Linked DNA regions of Callithrix jacchus. The protein of the gene in region 1 interacts with the protein of each later gene in a pairwise test. Links are inferred from orthologs where the notes say so. Each region holds a gene or a part of one and is shown on either strand. Other genes may lie near its edges.

Region 1 (10,101 bases):
TAGTGGCTGTGTGAACAAACACATGTGTTTCATTGGGGATGATGCACTGGCGAGAGAGAAGGGAGAGACCTAAAAGGGAAAAATGCCCCCTGCTTTCCTGTCCACTGCCACCCAGGTGGTCCTGCTGCCTTGCCCACCAGAATCTGTTTTTGGCTTTTTTTTTTAGACAGAGTTTTGCTCTTGTCGCCCAAGCTGGAATGCAATGGCACAAACTCAGCTCACTGCAACCTCCACCTGCCTCCCAGGTTCAAGCAATTCTCTGGCCTCAGCCTCCTGAGTAGCTGGAATTATAGGTGCCCACCACCACACCTAATTTTTGTATTTTTAGTAGAGAGGATTTATCCATGTTGGCCAGGCTGGTCTCGAACTCCTGACCTCAAGCAATCTTCCTGCCTTCATCTCCCAAAATGCTGGGATTACAGGCATAAGGCACTGCACCCAGCCCCACCAGGATCTATGATTACAAGTCTATCATAGCAGAGTTCAGGACTGAGATTGGGTCCGGGGCTTGAGCACCAAGATTTAGGGGTCCCTCAATTCTCACTAGGGGTAATCTCAGGGACCCTAAGCTCTGAGGATTTCATGAGGAGTAACATCATAACAAGTCTAAGTAACAAGGCTTAGACCTTTTGTTTTTGTTTTTTTGAGACAGGCCTCACTGTCTCCCAGGCTGGAGGGCAGAGCTTACTGCAGCCTTGACCTCCTGGGGTCAAGCAATCCCTCCACCTCAGCATCTCCAGTAGCTGGGACCAGAGGCACACACCAACACACAGTCAGATAATTTTTTATTTTTTGTAGAGATGAGGTTGTTGCCGAGGCTGGTCTCAAACTCCTGAGTTCAGGCAATCCAACTGCCTCGAACTCCCAAAGTGCCGGGATTTTGGGCATGAGCTACCAGGCCCAGCCAAGGCTTAGACATTTTAGAATGAGGTGATCCTGATTTCAGTTCTACCAGTCATGACCCCACTATGCTGCTGATGAAGACTGGGACAAAGGTATTGAACAGTACCTGAAATAGGAATCTTACCAGGGTCATGCTGAGTGTACGGCCCATGACAGCATGGAACAGGTCGTGTGCAGCCGGGCCAGACACAACAAAAAATTCACAGATGAAAAGATATTCGCGGCAGGAATTGTCTAGGAGGGCATAGTGCTGGCTGCGGAAGAGAGCCTCAAATGGATACTAGGAGAGGAGAAGTAAAGAAAAACAGAAGGGATGGACCCCAACACTGACTTCCCATGGATATGGCTGGAAAATCAGTAAACCTGGGTAATAAGAGCCGAGCAGACCCTTCACATCCATCTAGGTCCGGGCTGTCAGAGTATCCGGAATGGGCACTGAAAAGCTCAGGGAACACAGGGGTAAAAGAAGGGCCTATACCCTCTTGCTGTCGCTACTCCTGCATCCACCTCAACACCTGCCTCTGACCATCATTCCCCTCAGCCAGTCTCCCCCCTCTACATGCCCTTAAGTCAATGGTTCCCAGCTCTTTTCACATTACAGTAGGCTGGAGTGATTGGAGAAGCCCACTCTCAAGTCTAGGGGGATTGAGGCAGGGACTGCAGGTTGGGAAGCTTTGCCCTGAGGGGTGGCCTTTCCTCCCCTCATGCTCAGAGTCTCCTTCATGACTGAAGCTTGTTCCTCCTCATACCCTCTGCTCTCCACGCTGGGCTGTGTGAGGCACCAGAATGGGGGCCTCAAGTTCAGTCGGGGAGATGACAGAGCCACGGGTTCCCAGGGTGAAAATGGTGTTCCTGCTGCGGAGCGATGGCTTTGAGAAGAACCGTAAGATGGGTCAGAGTCAGGGAAAACAATAAGACCATAACTGGGCCCAAAGACTATCTGCAGGGACCCCAGCCAGCCTTCTTTCCCAGTACTGGGGCCCCACTTCACCTGACATCTGTGAATGGGCTTCAGGGGATCTCTCCCTCCTCTGCAATCATATGCAAAACTATGTAACAAAATGATGTGTACATCTTTCTAGGAAAAGAGGCTATAGCTTTCATCACTTTCCAAAAGGTTTCAGTCCCATAGGAAAAGGTAAGGAGCAGTGCCTTGGTGGCTGGAGCCAAAAGTCCTCCCACTCTCAAGGCCTGGCATGAGGGTTCCCCAGTACTAGGATATCTTTCTTTGCCGTATCTTCCACACCCATCAGATCATCTTTCTCAGCAACTTCCTCATACTAAGAAAATAGAAAAGAGAACTGATAACCAACTCTTTCCATAGCACAGTAAAATATTCCTTGCCCAGAGATGTCTCCTCCTCCCAGTCCATGTGCCCAGAAATGCCTCTCCCTCCTGGCCTTACCTGCACCTTCATGAGCCGCCCCAGGTAAGAGCGGTAGTAAGACAGGTAGATCTTGCTCAGCGTCTCCACGTATTCATCCCTGATCTCCTTTGCTGTTGCTCGTTCATTGCCCAGCAGAAACTGATAGAAGAACCTAGAAGCGTCAAGAACATGTCAGTCTACCTATCTGCCCAAGAAACCAGATGCCCACACTAGGCTGCTCAAAAGCTCAAAGGCCATCCATGCACTTCCCCGGGGTGGTGACCTGTACTTCAGCAGGGCTGTCTGGGGGATCTGATAGTTGGTCATTGGTTTCCTGAAGGAATAAATCTTCTGGAGGATAAACTCTCGGATCTTCGCCACTGCCTAGATGTGGGGAACCAAACACAGGGCATGAAGCTGCAACCCTTTTATTGTATGAGAGGAATTGGGGGAAGCAACAAATAGTAAACATAGAGAGAAGGGTGGTGAATACCTCTTTGGTATTTAAGATTTTCAGGGAAACCCAGGGAGGCAAGAATGGGGCTGCCCGGAAAAGGCAGGGTGAAGTTCTTGGAGACAGGCTACAGTGAGCCCTGCCAAGGAGATCCATACTGAAGGTCTTGGGAAGGCTGCTTCTAGTAGCCTCCAGGGTATCCATCCCTACTTCCCACCTTGACCCGGAGCCGATCAAGCACGCCTCTGACATCTGCGCAGGCCGCCGTGCCTCTAGCTTCCTGCTCCCTGACTGCGGCTGCCTTGGCATCCAGCTCCTGTAGCTGTTCCAAGAACCTGGGTTCTGTCACTGGAGCCTCTAGAATTGCCCTGGGGAGCAGGAAGGGGTGGGATGAGTTATAAGGGAGACCCAGACATCCCTAAACCAGACCTAGACCACATTCCTTACATCCAGCCTCTGTCATGCTACCACCCTGCAATGTACTATATATCAGGACACATGTACAAAGTTTTCTATTCCTGGACTTCCCCACTACACACCTGATCCTGCATCATTCTTAATCTTAATCTTTGATGCCTAAAGCATGCCTAAAGAAATGGTTGTTAATCCGGCTACTAATTTCTAAAAATCACTTAACCGGGAGCTAGGAGACCCATGCGGTAAAGAGGGTAGGTCACCCCAGCCCATTCATCTACTATGGACATTATGACCCTTCAAACTGGTAACTCACATGACCAGAGCAGAAGGCACCACCAGACCATCAACAAGTTCCCCAAGTTTCCCTCGAACTGCCTGGCGATTTCGAAGTCGAATATTCATGGCTCCTGACTGTTCCTGCAGTGTCCGAATCTCAGAGCTGATGGAGCTGAGGTCACTCTGAAAAGCTCCCAACATCTGCTCCATTCGCTGTAGGAAGGGTAGAAGATGTTGCTGGAGTGCTCTAGAGCTGGTAGGGGATAAGTGGGCCACCAAGGCCTCTTGGTGAAGTCCTCAGTATTTATCAGTCCATGAGGGTGGCAGATGATAAAACCCATAGACTGCCATGAAATAACATTAAATATCACAGTAATAACAAAAAAGGCTCCTGAGGTCATCTTGAAAATGATCCTAACCTGTCCCATCTTGAGGATGATGACCTAAAAATGGCATGAGAGTCCATGATCTAGTTCAGAGTAGCTATTACAGGTCACAGGTCATAATTACTAACCTCCAGGACAGCATCACAGGCTGTGATCTGGTTGTGCAGAGATGCTATATTCTCACTCTCTTGAATATCTGACCCACAAAAAGTCAAGGGGCCTCATGGTGAAGATGGAAATCCTCAGATTTGTAGAACCTCTCCAATTTCTCTCTGAAGGGACAGAAACCTCAGAGATGTGGACCCCACATACCACAAAATCCCCAGGGTAATAGCACTGCCCCTTCCCTCTGCTGGAGGATACAATCCCGAATGGATTTCTGTTCAATCTGCTGTAGCTCCAGCTCAACTTGCTTTGAATAGTGACGAAGATCTACACCCTGGGAGAACATAAAGATGACAGGTCAGGAGGAAGTCTCAGTAAAGGGACACTGTAACAGAATCAGTGAAGGACTAAAGGGTCAGACACCAGGCTAATATAACAAAAGCAAGAGACTTGTTTTTCCTTTTGGGGAGAGTAGATAGAAGGGCAGATTAGTATAGGGGAAAGCCTCACCGTTTTAAGAGCTTCCTTTACTAACTCATCCTCCAGATTTGCCTGAATGTGAACTGGAAATAGAAGTTTATCATAAGGGTCCAGCTCCACACATTGGAGCTGGACCACAATTCCCTCTCCCCACACTGAGTATCTGCACACCAATCCCTACCTTATTCCTTCTAGCCCACATGCCTCTCAAATTACAGCTACTACACCCACCCATGCCATCACTTACCATCCACTTCATCCAGGATGTACTCATCAGAAGTAATATCCAACTCCCCAAGTTGCAGTGGTTCCTGGAGCCCAGGACCACTGGCCTAGAAAGGGATAGGTTAATGGGAGTAGGGAATGGGGAAAGACAGAAGAAAATATATAATTAAATACCCGAAGTCCTTCAAGTGATATAGAGGTGCTTTTACTGGGAGCACAGGTACTGCTTTGAAAAATTCTAAGTCTCCCACTGTACCCACTCTCCTATTTTGTGCTGTTGGGTAAGGAATATGACAAGGAGTTAGATGATTCAGTAAGATAGTGGAGGTAGCCCAGCATGGTGGTGGGCTCCTTGTAGTCCCAACTACTTAGAAGCTGAGACGCGAAGATTGAGACCAGGAGTTCAAGGTCAACCACCTGGGTAACACAGGGAGTCCCGTCTCAAAAAACAAAACAAAACTAATGACAAGACAGTGGAGATGACTAAATGAGGAAAACTAGAAATTGCAGAGAATAGAGCAGAACTTGCACTTAAATTTAGGACCCTCAGACTCCTGTTATCTCAGACCTCTGGGGAACCCCAGACTTTCTAGAAATGTCAAAACACAGTGTTTACCTGCGTGCCAGGTGCCATCTTACACATACTCATTTATCTGAGTCTAACAATGATGTATAAAATAGGTTCTCTCTTCCTCACCTTATAGGTGTGGGAAATGATGCCACAGAGAAGCCAATTAACTTGCCCAAGGGCACACAGCGTGTTAAGTGGCAGAAATGGAATCAGAACCAAGGCAGTCTGGCTCCAGAGGCCATGTTCTTAACCTTTATACTATATTGTTTCTTGACTCTACCCCAAAATATGGAGAGAAGTTGAAACTGTGCCCCAGGACATGAGTTGCAGCCACTAGGGACCTGCTCAGGGTTGGGTCTGATCAGCGGGAAGGGTAAGAGGAGCCAAACAGGTAACATCACGCGTAGCAGCCAAGTTCCCACCCGTGCCTAAACCCAGCCCAGGCCTTTAGGAGGAGAAACAGCTCCGCGCTCTCACCAGCGGGCCCTCTTCCTCCTCCATATCTGAGGTTCCAGCCCGCAATACCAGTTCCCGGGCGGCAGCAGCCATGGTCGCAGCGGCGGCCATTCCCCGCAGCCTCACTTCCGGCCACTGTCAGTCCCGGCAAGTCCGTTCCCTAGAGTGGAGTTCAAGTCCCAGACAGCCTTCCTCAGAGCGAACTTCCCAGATGTTTGAGTTAAATTGTCTGACTCCAGGGGTTCCTTTTCAGCTCTAATCACTTCACCCAACTGCAAATGGAAACATGGAAGTCTAAAGCACAAACTAGCTCCGGAACCTTCGCTGCTCTCATACCCATGAACTTTGCGAACTGTAAAGAAAGGCTGTACCGGAAGTTATGGTACCTAAGTCATACTCTCCAGAGTCCAGGCAGCTCGCGCTGAAAGTTTCCGGAAGCACGTCTCTTAGATAGCTCCGCCTCTTCCTCCTAAAGCTATATAAGAACATTGCGTCACTTCCGTTTTCTCTTCCACAGGAGGCTTACACGCCGCCGCTTGTTCTGCCGCCATGGTAAGACTGGAAGCTGTGCCGTGATCCAGCGACATCGGAACTCGGGCAAGGGAAGCCGGCTGTCAGGGTTCTAGAAACGCTCTGTCCTGACGGCCTGCAACCTTCTGTATGGAGCCTTGAATCGCGCCCCTGGAAAGGGACACCAAAGATTTCCAATTCCGGGTAGCGGGCCCAAGGAAGGGTCACTGCTTGGGCACACGGAAGCTGCCAAAGGCTTGGGCGTATTATAGGGACTCTGGCTTCTGCCACGCAGAGTGCACTTTTGGAAATGGGCAGGAGTCCTGCCTCCTCTCTCCAGAGGTTTTTTTTCCCCACGCTTGAATGCTTCATGTTCCTACTCTCTGCAGGACTTGAGGAGTTTGCTGTGATGTGAAAACCTAAGGGATGGGGGTCGGGTGTCTTTGACCACTTGTGTGACAGGTTTTTAACTTTTCTTTATAAAGGTCGTTTGCCTTAGCAACCTTACTGTTTGATAGTAGTTTACTGTGTCTGATATCTCCCCATACTTTTTCAATCAGTCTCTAGTGATCCCTGAAAAGTTCCAGCATATTTTGCGAGTACTCAACACCAACATCGATGGGCGGCGGAAAATAGCCTTTGCCATCACTGCCATTAAGGTAAGTGAAGTAGGATAAGGAATAGGGAATGTAAATGAGAATTAGGTTGTAAAGATATAAGCAAAAATAAAGGAACGTTGGGGAAACTTGAGTCTCATCCAGATCACCTGGACTGCCGGATTTAGAAAAGAAAGCCGGGCGCAGTGGCTTACGCCTGTAATCTCAGCACTTTGGGAGGCCGAGGCGGGCGGATCCTAAGGTCAAGAGATGCAGACCATCCTAGCCAACATGGTGAAATCCCGTCTCTACTAAAAATACAAAAAAATTGGCTGGGCGTGGTGGTGCGCGCCTGTAGTCCCAGCTACTCGGGAGGCGGAGGCTGGAGAATCGCTTGACCCTGGGAGGCAGAGATTGCCCTGAGCCGAGATCGTGCTACTGCACTCCAGCTTTGGCGACAGAGAGAGACTACGTCGCAGAAAGAAAAAGAAAATAGTTTAGGGAGAAACTAACCCCTTTAGTCCTTACTACATTTATCACAGAGGTTAGGTAAAGCCAATTGAGTGGTTTAAGATCAAGCCCAATATACTTCACCGGGGGAAGTGGGGCGGGGTATGGTTACCTACCCAAATTCGCTAAGATCCCCCTGAACCGTGAGCTTGTGAGATCCCTGCTAGATTTGTTTCATTACCCAAACCACCATCATAATAGCAACCTTTCCTGTGAAATTTATATGCCCTGGGAACGGGAGGATTATTGGGCTTCTTGAGGGATAAGTAGACATGCCAACAGATAAAGTGTGAAGAAACCTGTAAATGGAGGGTTGAGGAAGTCTGGGCAGGACGTTTACTCAGATGCCAAAATTGACACTCCTTTCCTATCAAAGTGGGAAGGAGTACAGATTTCATTCACTTGTAAGAATCCAAAAGGGAATGCAAAGAACATTGCTTCACTTGCATATTTCTCTCCACAAATGTAAGGAACTCCTTTGTAGATAAATGCTTTTTTTTTTTTTTTTTTTTTTTTTTAATTAATCAGAATGTGTAGTTAGTTGTGGAAATAGCCTACCAGTATGTGTCCATTTCATGGGTACAGGGCTAGGCCTGTCGTACAGTTCTAAGCTTCTGTTGCATGTTAGGGAATGGATAGTAGTAGGGATACTCTTGGCAGGTTTGAGGACTGTAAAGGAAAATTCCTGCCATTTTTGGTGGGGAGACAGTCTTGCTCTTTTGCCCAGGCTGAAGTACAGTAGTGCCATCTTGGCTCACTACAACTTCCACCTCCCGGATTCAAGCAATTCTCCTACCTCAGCCTCCCGAGCAGCTGAGATTTCAGGCACCTGGAATTAACCTAGTTAATTTTGGTATTTTTAGTAGGGATGGGGTTTCACCATGTTAGCCAGGCTGGTCTTGAACTCCTGACCTCAGGTGATCCACCTGCCTTGGCCTCCCAAAGTGCTGGAATTAAAGGCCTGAGCCACCACACCTGGCCTGAAGTAAATCTTTTCATTTCTAAGTTTATGGAATTTGATGGTTGGCTTCTGAAATAGGACATTTAATAAAATTTGAGGCTGGGTGCAGTGGCTCATCCCTGTAATTCCAGCACCTTGGGATACTGAGGTGGGTGGATCCCCTGAGGTCAGGGGTTTGAGACCAGCCTGGCCAACATGGGTGAAACCCTGTCATTTAATAAATAAATTTGAAAGACTACTGTCTTCTGAATCAGCCTGCCAATTTGACCCTTGGTCACATTTATTTTTATTTTTTTCCAAGACAGAGTCTCCGTTGCCCAGGCTGGAGTGCAGTTTTTTTTGTTTGTTTTTTAGAGACAGGATCTCACTGTGTTGCCTAGGCTGGTCTGAAACTCCTGGGCTTAGTGATCATCCAGCCTCAGCCTCCCAAAGTGCTGGAATTAAAGGCGTGAGCCACTGTGAAGTCAACCTTTGATTTCTTTCTTGCAATTTCCTGGGGGCTACTATAACAAGTTCATATAAACTAATCAGAAAATTACTCTTGGCGCTGGGGGCATTTAAGAATCCTACCTTGTCTCTCCCTCTCTTCTGGTGGTTGTCAGGAATTCTTAGTGTTCCCTGGCTTGTAGCTGCATTACTCCAATCTGTTGTCATCTCGTGATCGTCTTTGTGTGTTTATCTTAAAAGATGACTTGTCATTGGATTTAGAGCCCACCCTAATCAAGTGTAACATTTTACCTAATTATTTCCCTAACGACCTCATATCCAAATAGGGCCACATTCTGAGTTTCTAGTTGGACATAAATGAGAGGAGGACCTCACTATTCAGTCCATCTTTCACTATCCAAATCACTTTGGTTCATGAGTTTAGATGGCATGAGTGCTAGTGCTGGCGTTGATATTACGCTACCAAAGTAAGCATTAGTTTGTTTGTTTTTTAAGATGAGTTTTGCTCTTATTGCCCAGGCTTGAGTGCAATGGCTCGGTCTCGTTTCACTGCATCCTCCGCTGCCTGGGCTCAAGTGATTCTCCTGTCTCAGCCTCCCAGTTGGCTGGGATTACAAGCATGTGCCACCACACCTGGCTGATTTTTTGTATTTAGTACAGACAGGGTTTCACCATGTTGGTCAGGCTGGTCTCGAACTCCAGAGTCCTGACCTCGGGTGATCCACCTGCCTCGGCCTCCCAAAGTGCTGGGATTACAGGTGTGCACCATCATGCCTGGCACATTAGTTTCTTTTTAATAACGTGTGCAGTCAGTTCTGGGCACTGATAAAATTAAGTTGGTGATCTTGGGATACTTTGTTGGTAGGGATACAGTGACTTGCCTAAATTGTGACCCTTAAGAGATTCCGAGAAACTGACAGCCCAGTACTTTAATCAAAGCCTGTAACTCATGAGACCCTGGTTGTTTGCTGCATCAGCCCGGGGGGGGGCAGGCTCCTTGTTCTCCAAAATGCAAAAATCAGAAGGCACATAGTGCCAACTACATATGCTGGGCTATGAGAAAAGATACCACCTGCTTTCAAAGGTTGATTGTCTATACTATAAAGTCTGTATTCATAAATCAGATTCAACCCTAATTCCAAAACCTCTGACTTCATTCAGGGTGTGGGCCGAAGATACGCTCATGTGGTGTTGAGGAAAGCAGACATTGACCTCACCAAGAGGGCAGGAGAACTCACTGAGGATGAGGTGAGGATAAGGAAGGGGTTTGGGGGTAGAGTCTGCCTCGGAAAGGAGGCCGTCTACTGACCTTGTCCTGCCTGCCAGGTGGAACGTGTGATCACCATTATGCAGAATCCACGCCAATATAAGATCCCAGACTGGTTCTTGAACAGACAGAAGGATGTAAAGGATGGAAAATATAGCCAGGTGTGTACCA
Region 2 (10,181 bases), about 130 Mb from region 1:
CTCGTCCGGCTAATTTCATATTTTTGGTAGAGATGGGGTTTCGCCATACTGGTTAGGCTGGTCTTGAACTCCTGACCTCGTGATCCACCCTCCTTCCACCATGCCCGGCCTTTTTTATTTTTTGAGATGGAGTCTTGCTATCACCAGGCTGGAGTGCAACAGCATGATCTCAGCTCACTGCAACCTCCACCTCCCAGGTTAAAGCAATTCTCCTGCCTCAGACTCCTAAATAGCTGGGACTATAGGCATGAGCCACCATGCCCAACTAATTTTTGTATTTTCAGTAGAAGCAGGGTTTCACCATGTTGGCCAGGATAGTCTCGATCTCTTGACTTTGCGATCCACCTGCCTCAACCCCCAAAGTGCTGGGATTACAGATGTGAGCCACTATGCCTGGCCTACTTTTTGCATTTTTAGTAGAAATGGGGCCATGTTGGCCAGGCTGGTCTGGAACTGCTGACCTTGGGTGATCCACACACCTCAGCCCCCCAAAGTGCTGGGGATTACAGGCATTAGCCACCAGAGCCAGCCAATAATATTTTTAATTGTACATATTTAACCAGCATAGAAGTGCCTATATCTATGCATATGTAAACATAAAATTTTGAGAACAAACCAGGAACTTCACATAACAAGTACTGTGGTAGAGATCTGTGAATGACAGTTTGAAACAGCTAAATTTATCACTAAGGCTAGCTGATATACCTGTTATCTAGTTATTGGGCATCCTACCTACTCAGTATGTATAATTTTAGTTGTAATACTAAAGTATCATGGATGCTATTCAATATAAATTCCAGTTTATAAATTATTACAGTTGGCCCTTGAAGAACCCAGGTTTTAGCTGCATGGGTCCACTTATACATGGATTGTTTTCAATCAAACTCAGATAAAAATAAAGTACTGGGATCAAAAATACAGCATTCATGGGATACAGAACCTGAGTCTGCAAAGGGCAGACTTTTCATACAAGAGGGTTCACATTCCCATGCCAGGATTTTGGCAAGGATCGTTTGCATATGTTTCTACAATGGGATACTTCCCCTAGGTTTACTTGTTTATTCTCTTCTTAAAGACAGGTATCCATATTTTTATTCCATTAAAATAAAATTAACTGCAAGCTTAGTAAGCAACAAATGAGATCATAATCTGCTTTTAAAGAGCATTAAAAGGTCTGGGAAACACATGAAGAAAGTTCTGATAACCTTGGTATTCTAAAACAGGGTATCAACTTTGCAAATATAAAAGTAGCAGAATCTCTGCACCCCATCTCAAGAATTACCACAACCCGGGCTCTATCTCAAAAAGAATTACCAGAAACAGGGTCCAAATACTGTGCTATTTCTGAAGATAGACATTAATCTTCAGCAGTGGTAACTGGCAGAAAATGGGCATTTAATTATTAGTTTCCCTTTTCCTATAAAAAACATGAAAAGATAATTCACAGGTTGAGGATAATAATCATACTGCCCTCATGACTGTTTCTAACTTTTACTGCAGAATTCTTGGCATCTCCAATATTTAGAATTCTAAACAGAAGTTACTTGAATTTTTTTGAGACAGGGTCTCACTGTGTCGCCCAGGCTGGAGTGCAGTGACTTGATCATGGCTCACTGCAGCCTCCATCTATTGGGCTCAAGTGATCCTCCTGCCTCTCAGCCTCTTGTGCAGCTGGGATCAGAGGCGTGCCCAGCTACATTTTTTTTTTCCTTCTTAGTAGAGATGAGGTCTTGCTATGTTGCCCAGGCTGGTCTTGGGCTCCTGGGCTCGAGTGATCCTCCTGCCTGCGCATCCAAAAGGCTGAGATTACAGCTGTGAGTCACCAGGCCCAGCCTGCAGTTATTGAAATTTCTAAACCTGGCTTATGTCCTTTTATTTTTTAACAAGTTTGATGTTGAGCAGATTTTAAATAAATGGTGCTTTTTACTAACATTTTGTTTAAAAATAAAATTCTTTATTTGTAAGTCAGGGGTAAATACAGGTTTTAGATAAATGTCTACACTTCCTAAGTCAACTTTTAGAGTCACTTTTAAGATCACTCTAGTTGTTTGGGGTATCCAACTTGGGAAATTCAGAGCCTCAACATTTACAAAGAGAGTCCTTCTTCAACTTTAATCTGATGAAAAATCAATCTTTCCTTAAAAGTCCATGATATGCCACAAAGTCAAATTGACTTTGAATCATCTGGGAAAAGGCAAATTAGAACAGGTTCAAAATTTACAACTATCTGCAACATTCAACTATTTGGTCAAAATAGAAGCTAATTCGTAATTCTGACATTCACACTGCACAAATGTACTGAGAACTTTGGTATTCCCCAGGTCAACTTTTTTTTAGTGCAAATGACAAGAACAACAACCATTTAAAGTCATTTCTAGATTCATAAAGACAATGAATATTCCAGGTTCTCCGAACAATCTATTCTCGTATCACAAAAAACAGAATGATCATATCATCATTTGGAGTCAATTAAAATTGAATCCTAAGGAAAAATAATAAAGAAAATATACTCAATACTTATGAGTCACACATTTAACAACAGCACTTTTCAAAGTCAAAGTTAGTTCCCATTTTCCAGGATGAAAATGACTGTGAGTCATTAGGTGATTAAAACAGTTATTAATTAATACATTGGGGATAAGGACCTCAAATTTGCCCCTCAAAAAGGTGGTAACATGATAATTACTTTTTAAATTACGTAAAGGTTTCAGTTATTTATGTAGATAATTTAGAGATAATATATCTCAAACTTAGACTATCAGGACCACCATCTACTCTTGATTCCATAACAGAGAAAAACAGCTTAGTAGGGAGTTCGGTTTAGACTGGCTAGGTGCCTACCATCCCAGATCCCAGTAGCTTCCTGGCTCTCCGCATCATAAAGTTAGGCAACTCAGTTCCCTCTGAACAGAGGCAAGGGCCAGCCAACACAACTTCAGTAAGAAAGCACGGTACCTTGGTGAAACAAATCATAGCTGAATGTAAGAAACCAATCTTCAGACACTATAGTAGCACGGTACTGATCAGAACTGAAAGGCCACCTTTTCCTTACCCTCCGTCATGTGTGATTTTGAGTAAGTCATTTAACCCTTGCAGTTTCCAAGTCACCAAAACATAATTTTGCCTGTCTCAAAGTGCTGCAAATAGTGATGCTTTCAGCACAACATGCTATATAAATAAAATTTTTCAAATAAAATATGAACATAAAAGGCAACTTTCATGTGCACTTGGAAAAAATTAAATTCTACTAACTATATCTTCAAAGGCAGAAAATATTTATAGCACTATGTTCTAGTCAGATGAAACGCCTTGTTATACACAATGAAGCATACTATTGTAAAGATACTGAAAAGTTTTTCGGTGGTAAGCTTAGTAACTACAAGAAACAACATTTAGAGGCAGAAAAGTGCACTGGAAATAATTTAAAAAGTAAAAACAAGAAAAAACCAAAATATTATCTTCAGTCTTGTTTTGCTGAAGGACCTACTAACATACAATTTTGAAGAACAAGAAATATATAATGATCAAAACTGCTAAACAATATATTCGAGGGGATTCAATACTACATACAAGACCGTAAGAGATCTTGGATGCTTTAACGTACTGTACAAATAGCGACAGTGCTCATCTCCACATCATAGAGCTATTACACATTTTCTGTTTCATCTCTACCAGCTTATTTCTGACAGACAATACACAACAATATTTTGAACAAACATGACTCAACGTTCAATTGGAAAAGCTAGACATAAAGGAGCCATGTAAAAATCAGCAGTGCCTGGGACATACTATTATTACTTTCATCCTCTGGGAGCTAGAAATTTCGGTAGCTCGTCCAAATTCTGCCACTGAAAAAGTACATAAAAATACTTACGTTTTAAACTATGTGTGTGCTTAAGATACCTTAAGATCTAAAAGCACTGTTAGAAACACACCTACGCAAACCGTTAAAACGTAACCTCAACCTTATTAAAAGCCTACTTGTGGACTGCAATCTTTCCCCACTTCCTTTGCCTAATCAGTGCTACTTGAATGAATTAAAATGTACCCACCTTGAAAATATTTTTCGTTCACGGTTTTAAATTATGGTTTTAAATGTCCGTAGTATGTTTATCTATCGTAAAAAAGTTAACAGCCAAAATTTTAAAATACAAAAAAAGAGAGCTTGTGATGCATCTATGATGTCCATTTATCTTCCGAAGCAATGGAATTAACTAAATTAAAAACTAGATAAAATGGACACAAATACAACTTGCAACTGTAACATAATTACCGAAAATACTTTCGGCGAATTTTTCTACTAAATGGTAGATTTTTTTTTTTTTTTTTACATAATCACAGGATATTAAGATAGTCCTTTGGGATCAAACCACCAAGCGACTTTCTTCTTTATCAAAACAAGAACTTAGGCTTTTCTACTATGTGTACACTGACTTATGAAAAACGGTTAAAAAAATCATCGAATAACTGTCACAGGGATCCAAGGTGAGACTTGGATTTCACAAAAATCTGCAAATAATTCAGTTTCTTTCCTCAGAATGCACGCACTCATTTGAAAATGGAAATCTACAAGATAACCTATCTGCAGTAACAACCTACTGCGTGACACGAAATACTGGGAACGAACGATTTTTTTTTCTTGCTGAACTCGTTAGTGCCGCCAGGTTCTCGGGAGAGGCCCGAGGGAGGTGGAGGGGGCGACACCTAGGAGAGGAGAGGAAAGGACGAGCGCCGCCGTTCAGCCCGGGGAGGGCAACCTTCGGCCTCCGTGAATGGCCGGTCTCTCCGACCGCCGGAGCACCCGTCTCACCCCGGACCCCGGGGACGGAGGACGGAGATAAAATGGCATCGGGGTGGCGGAAGTGTTTCCGCAGGCGGGAAGATAGAGCGGATTACGAGAGACCGGTGCCGCCCGGGGCATGAGTGATCCTTCCGGCCCTGCCCGCCCCTTACCGGCCCGTGGCCGCTGCGCCCCAGCCCTCAGGCCCCGGAGATCCCCCGCGGCCGCTCCCGCCAGCCGACCCGCACCTACCTCTCCTGTCGCGGAGGCCGAGGCCGCGCTGCTCGCCCCGCCGCCCGGGCCCCGCGGGCGCCGCGCAACCGGACCGCTCTGCCGCCGGTTCCGCCGCGCTCCCAGTCCCGCCACAACCCCGGCGCTCCCCTTTATTTGCGGGTCTCGCTGCCACAAAATGGCGCTGAGGGAGGAAACCAGGCCCCGCCGCCCGGCCCCGCCCCGTCGCCCGGCCCCGCTCCGCCCCGCCCCGCCCCACAGCCCGGCCCGAACGCGCCGCCTGCCAGCGCCACTGCCTGCCGCCTCCCGCCAGCCTCATCGCTCCGCCATGTTCGCGTTCTGGCCCACTCACCGAAGAGTCGCCTTTCAGGGGTGGCCGCGGTCACCTGCCCGCCGCCGGGCCCCGCCAGTAGAGGAAAAGTGAGGGGAGGGCGGCCGCCGGCCTAGCCCGATCGGGGCCTCGAAGCGCAGTGGAGCAGCTGCTCCCCGGTAACACACCCTGTCTTTTCCCAGGAGCCTGGCGCGAGCCCCCGCGGCCGCCGGAGCTCAGCGAAGGCGGTGGGGGCGGGAAGGGAAGCGGCTGGAGGGGCGGGACGGCGAGGTCGGAGGTCAGCCGCGGGGCATCACGGGAAGGGAAGGTGGCCGCCTGGTGGACGCACTCGCCGCGGCCACCTGCGTCTGCGGGACGGCCTCGTGCGGAGGGATCTGGGCGAAGGCGGCGCGTCATTGGCCGCTCTGTGGTCGCGACTCCCATCCTTGATGCTTCCGCGCGTCGGAGGACCAGGTGCCACCTCGAGAGAGGCTGTGGGCGGCGAGCTGGGGGCGTTTACGCTTAGCAGAAGCTCACCTGTAAGTTTTGAGAACTTAGAAACCGATGCCCTCCCTTTCTTCTGTCGTAAGGCGTATCCTCCTGGACGCCGGGTTTGCTCCTCCTTGACGTCTCTGGGGACGTATCGAGGAGCTATTGTTCTCTGGTGCCGGAGGTTGCGCGGCGACCGCGGCTCTGAGGGCGCCTTGCTAACTCTGAGGAGGGAAAGGCGGCCGGCCCCGATGGGCTTAGTGAATCCAGTTAAAGGGGTCCTGCAAGTCGAGCAGACTCCCTGAAGCAAGACTGCGCCATCTGGATTGCCGAGTAAGGGCGGTGTTACCTGAAGAACGTGGAACAATCTCGAAACACTAGAGGATCACGTAATTCTTTCGATTGGTCTGCCCTTAGCCGGCTTTATCAAACCTGTTTATCCCCAATGAAGTGTCTTGTAGTAAGGTGATTTCTAAGGATAAGATTAAAGTACACTCCAGATGGTCGTATTACATTCCCCGTGAATCAGATCAGTCTGGAGAAGTCTTTGCAACTTGTATCACAAGAACTCTCAAAAATTGAAAACAAAAAGTCCAAAATTCAAAGGAGAAAATGGGGAAGGACATGAACAAATCATTCTCAGAAAAAATACAGTAATGGTCCTTAAACGTGGGAAGATGCTCCACCTTACTTACAATGGAAATACACATTGAAATTACCTTTCTGGTGGGAGTGGAAAAATGGTTCAAAATCTGTGGAGTACAAAATTACGTTTGTTTATTCTTACTCCTTGCAGTTCTAACCCTAACCTTATTCTGAAGGTACAGCTCTACACATGGAAACAATATGTATACAAGGTTATTGCAGTGCTATTTGTCATAGCAAAAGTTAGGGATAACCTAAATATCCATTAATAGGGAAGGGATAGGCAATGGTGCATCCATCCAATAGAATACAATGCAGCCCTTAAAAAGATTCAGAAGGGGCCGGGCGCCGTGGCTCAAGCCTGTAATCCCAGCACTTTGGGAGGCCGAGGCGGGTGGATCACGAGAGATCGAGACCAACCTGGTCAACATGGTGAAACCCCGTCTCCACTAAAAATACAAAAAATTAGCTGGGCACGGTGGTGCGTGCCTGTAATCCCAGCTACTCAGGAGGCTGAGGCAGGAGAATTGCCTGAACCCAGGAGGCAGAGGTTGCAGTGAGCCGAGATTGTGCCATTGCACTCCAGCCTGGGTAACAAGAGCGAAACTCCGTCTCAAAAAAAAAAAAAAAAGATTCAGAAAACCATGTGTTGCTTATTTTATATATCTTAATATATAAAAATATTTATATTTAACATGCATATTTATGTATATATGCTTATTTTGGGAGGAGGGATTGGAAGGATATCCCGGAAACTTAAAATAGTTACCTATAAAGAGAGGTGGGCAAGAGTGGAGGGGAGATAGAAACAAGAATTCTCTGTCTTTGAACTTTTAGTTTTATATAGCCGACAAGTAAATAAAAAAGTAAACCTCAGAGTTGAAAGCAAATTGAAACAAATGAAAATTCTTAAGTATGGCTTTTTTTTTTTTTTTTTTTAAGACAGTCTTGCTGTGTTGCCCAGGCTAGAGTGCAGTGGTACAATCTCAGCTTATTGCAACCTCCCCATCCTGGGTTCAAGCAGTTCTCCCACCTCAGACTCCAGAGTAGCTGGGATTACAGGCATGTACCACCACCCCTGGCTAATTTTTGTATTTTTAGTAGAGATGGGGTTTCACCATGTTGACCAGACTCACTCCTGACATCAGGTGATCCGCCTGCCTAGACCTCCCAAAGTGCTGGGATTACAGACGTGAGCCACCACAGTCGGCCCCTTGGGGCTTTTGAACACAGTCCTCTAGTAATGTATCTGTGTTGAGATAGTGTAGTCTTTCCTCCTTATATGCAGGAGATTGGATGTAGGACCTTCTGCAGGCATATACAGAAATCTGCATACCTGCCTTGGCCTACCAAAGTGCTGGGACTGCAGGCCTCAGCCAGCCGGCCTCTTTCTGAACTTCTTGGATCTTCCATTTATATCATTCTCTCATACACTAGAAGTCTTTGTACACAGTAACATTAAAGTACTTATGTTATCCCATCATATCACATACAGTACATAGTTTGAAAACAACAGCAACAATATTAGTCAATCATAAAGCAGTTAGTGAAGCTGAAAGCTCCTTTGCATTTTTTTCCTCATTAGGATACACAGTTGATCCTTGAACAACACTGGTTTGAACTGCTGGGTGGCTGATGCTTGCAGTCCCAGCACTTTGGTAGGCCAAGGCAGGAGCATCACTAGAGTCCAGGAGTTTGAGACCAGCCTGGGCAACATAGTGAGACCTCTGTCTCCATTTTTTTTTTAATTTAAAACAATTTTTAAGATGTTCTAATGGAACTGAAGAATACAATATGAGAACTTTGTGAAAAAAAAAAAAGTTCACTGATCCTGAAAAAAACTAATATAAAAAATTTTAAGAAGTTCAGAAAAAAATAGTCTGTAATACTGAGTTTAAACTGCAGGGCTGGGTGCAGAAGCACACACCTGTAAGCCCAGTGCTTTAGGAAGCCAAAGTGGCCTAGGAGTTCAAGACCAGCCTGGTCAACACAGTGAGACCCTGGCTCTACAAAGTCCAGATAAAATAGCCAGGGGTGGTAGCCTGTGCCTATATAGTCCTAGCTACTTGGGAGGCTGAGATTGGAGGACCAGTTGAGCCTAGGAGTTTAAAGTTACAGTGAGCTGTGATCTTACCATTGCACTCCAGCCTGGGCTGTAGACCCTATCAAAGAGAAAGAAGAAAAAAATTTAAACTGCAAAATAAAATTTCCTGGTTCTGTGCACTGAAAGGGCCTAGAAGCCCAAGGGTGACCAATTGGTCAAGTTTGCCATGGACTGAGGGGTTTTCTGTGGATGCTGGACTTTCAGGTTAAAACTGGAACAGTCCCAGGTGAACTAGGATGTACAGGCAAGGTCACCCTACAGTAACAATGAGCACATCTGACACGCAGATCTTGGTTTCTGAATTCCATTTCCACTAAAGAAGAGATCCAGAGCTCCTGGAAGAATTGGCTGATTCCAGCTCTGGGCTGGGAAAAAAACGAGTTGAGCCAGGTATTTCATTGTGCCTGAATGCAAAGGAAGTGCTTAGACCGATGAGGCTATGCCAACAGTATTTAGAAGCACTAACAAAACTAATCCATAGTGATAAACAGTAGATCAGTAGTTGGCTAGGAGGAGAAGAGAGAAGGAATTGACTGGAAAGGAAAATGGGAGAACTTTTGGGGGTGATGGACATGTTCTGTGTCCTGGTTAACAGAGAGATATACATTTTTCAAAATTCATTAAATTGTGGCACTATAAGGGATGCATTTTATTGCATGTAAATTATACCTCAATAAAATGTGGAAATAAGCCAAGGCAATCCAAATGAGAAAAGCAAAGTCTGTTGTGAACTTGCTGTAGCAAAGGAGTCAGCACCATCACTTACGTTTTGGCAGAGGTTCAAAGGCATGCAGAGGAGTGGGAAAGCTTTACAGTGGACAAGGGAAAGTTTCACAGGAATGCCTGAGGGGAAGCTGTTGCATGGGGAAGCTGGAAGCTAACTAGAAGTTGGCATCCCATGGGGTTGGTTAAAGGAGCATATGTGACTTTCTCTGGATGGTCATAAACTAGGAGTGGGGACAAAAATTAGGGAAGCTGTTAATTTTTAATCAAGTCCTGGTAATTTTGAGCTGATGTCGTAGAAGTTACTATTTAGCTTCCTGGATGGCTACCAGAGATAGCAGTTTGCCTTACTACGAGTCTGGTTGATAGCAGGTTTGGCTTTTAGGCTGGGTGTACAGCACTTATGGTAGATAAATGATTGGTTTACTGGGCTAGTTGTTGCAGGTAATGGGCCAGAATTCTGTTTTTATGTATATTGTGGCCATTGTTCATTTGTATTTTCAGTCTCTCAAAAATAAATTTTAGAGACATGGGAGTCAGCTTGAAGGATCTCCCACGGGCCAACTTTAGGGCAGTTTTAACATCAAAAAGAAAATGAATACTATTGATTGCAATACTGAATAAATAAAAATGTACTCTCTAGTATAGAGAAGAGAGAATGAGAAGAGGGAAACTATTTTTCCATCATTGGTAGTGACTATTATACCAGTTTGTTACTCTGAAAATTAGTTATTAAAGGCAGATAGCATTTATATTGTTTGTTGTTTGTTTTGTTTGTTTTTGTTTTAAAAATAGAGTCTTGCTCTCCCATCCAGGCTGGAGTCCAGTGGCACAAACATGACTCACTGCAGCCTTGATCTCCTGGGCTCAAGTGATCCTCCTGCCTCCTCAGAAGCTGG

Evidence for each region. The genes of interacting proteins can lie anywhere in the genome.
Region 2: the proteins of VPS52 (region 1) and WTAP interact in binary tests that used the Homo sapiens proteins (3 or more experiments, as listed by UniProt). The two-hybrid records come from large-scale screens. The link is inferred for Callithrix jacchus from reciprocal best matches to the Homo sapiens genes VPS52 and WTAP.

The regions. Positions count from the first base shown.
Region 1 is NC_133505.1:41,508,821-41,518,921, forward strand, and holds the start of VPS52 (vacuolar protein sorting-associated protein 52 homolog), read right to left. Parts: upstream 5,994-10,101; 5' UTR 5,751-5,993; coding exon 5,661-5,750; intron 4,720-5,660; coding exon 4,635-4,719; intron 4,471-4,634; coding exon 4,418-4,470; intron 4,242-4,417; coding exon 4,166-4,241; exon of another isoform or gene 4,164-4,165; intron 4,002-4,163; exon of another isoform or gene 3,999-4,001; coding exon 3,931-3,998; intron 3,630-3,930; coding exon 3,454-3,629; intron 3,092-3,453; coding exon 2,941-3,091; intron 2,654-2,940; coding exon 2,553-2,653; intron 2,442-2,552; coding exon 2,309-2,441; intron 2,184-2,308; coding exon 2,126-2,183; intron 1,787-2,125; coding exon 1,653-1,786; intron 1,184-1,652; coding exon 1,028-1,183; intron 1-1,027. Other genes in the region: RPS18 (small ribosomal subunit protein uS13), read left to right, coding at 6,189-6,191, 6,710-6,808, 9,825-9,911, 9,990-10,091. UniProt on the Homo sapiens protein: Acts as a component of the GARP complex that is involved in retrograde transport from early and late endosomes to the trans-Golgi network (TGN).
Region 2 is NC_133505.1:166,520,028-166,530,208, reverse strand, and holds the start of WTAP (pre-mRNA-splicing regulator WTAP), read right to left. Parts: upstream 5,569-10,181; 5' UTR 5,364-5,568; exon of another isoform or gene 5,300-5,363; intron 5,187-5,299; exon of another isoform or gene 5,033-5,186; intron 2,956-5,032; exon of another isoform or gene 2,842-2,955; intron 1-2,841. UniProt on the Homo sapiens protein: Associated component of the WMM complex, a complex that mediates N6-methyladenosine (m6A) methylation of RNAs, a modification that plays a role in the efficiency of mRNA splicing and RNA processing.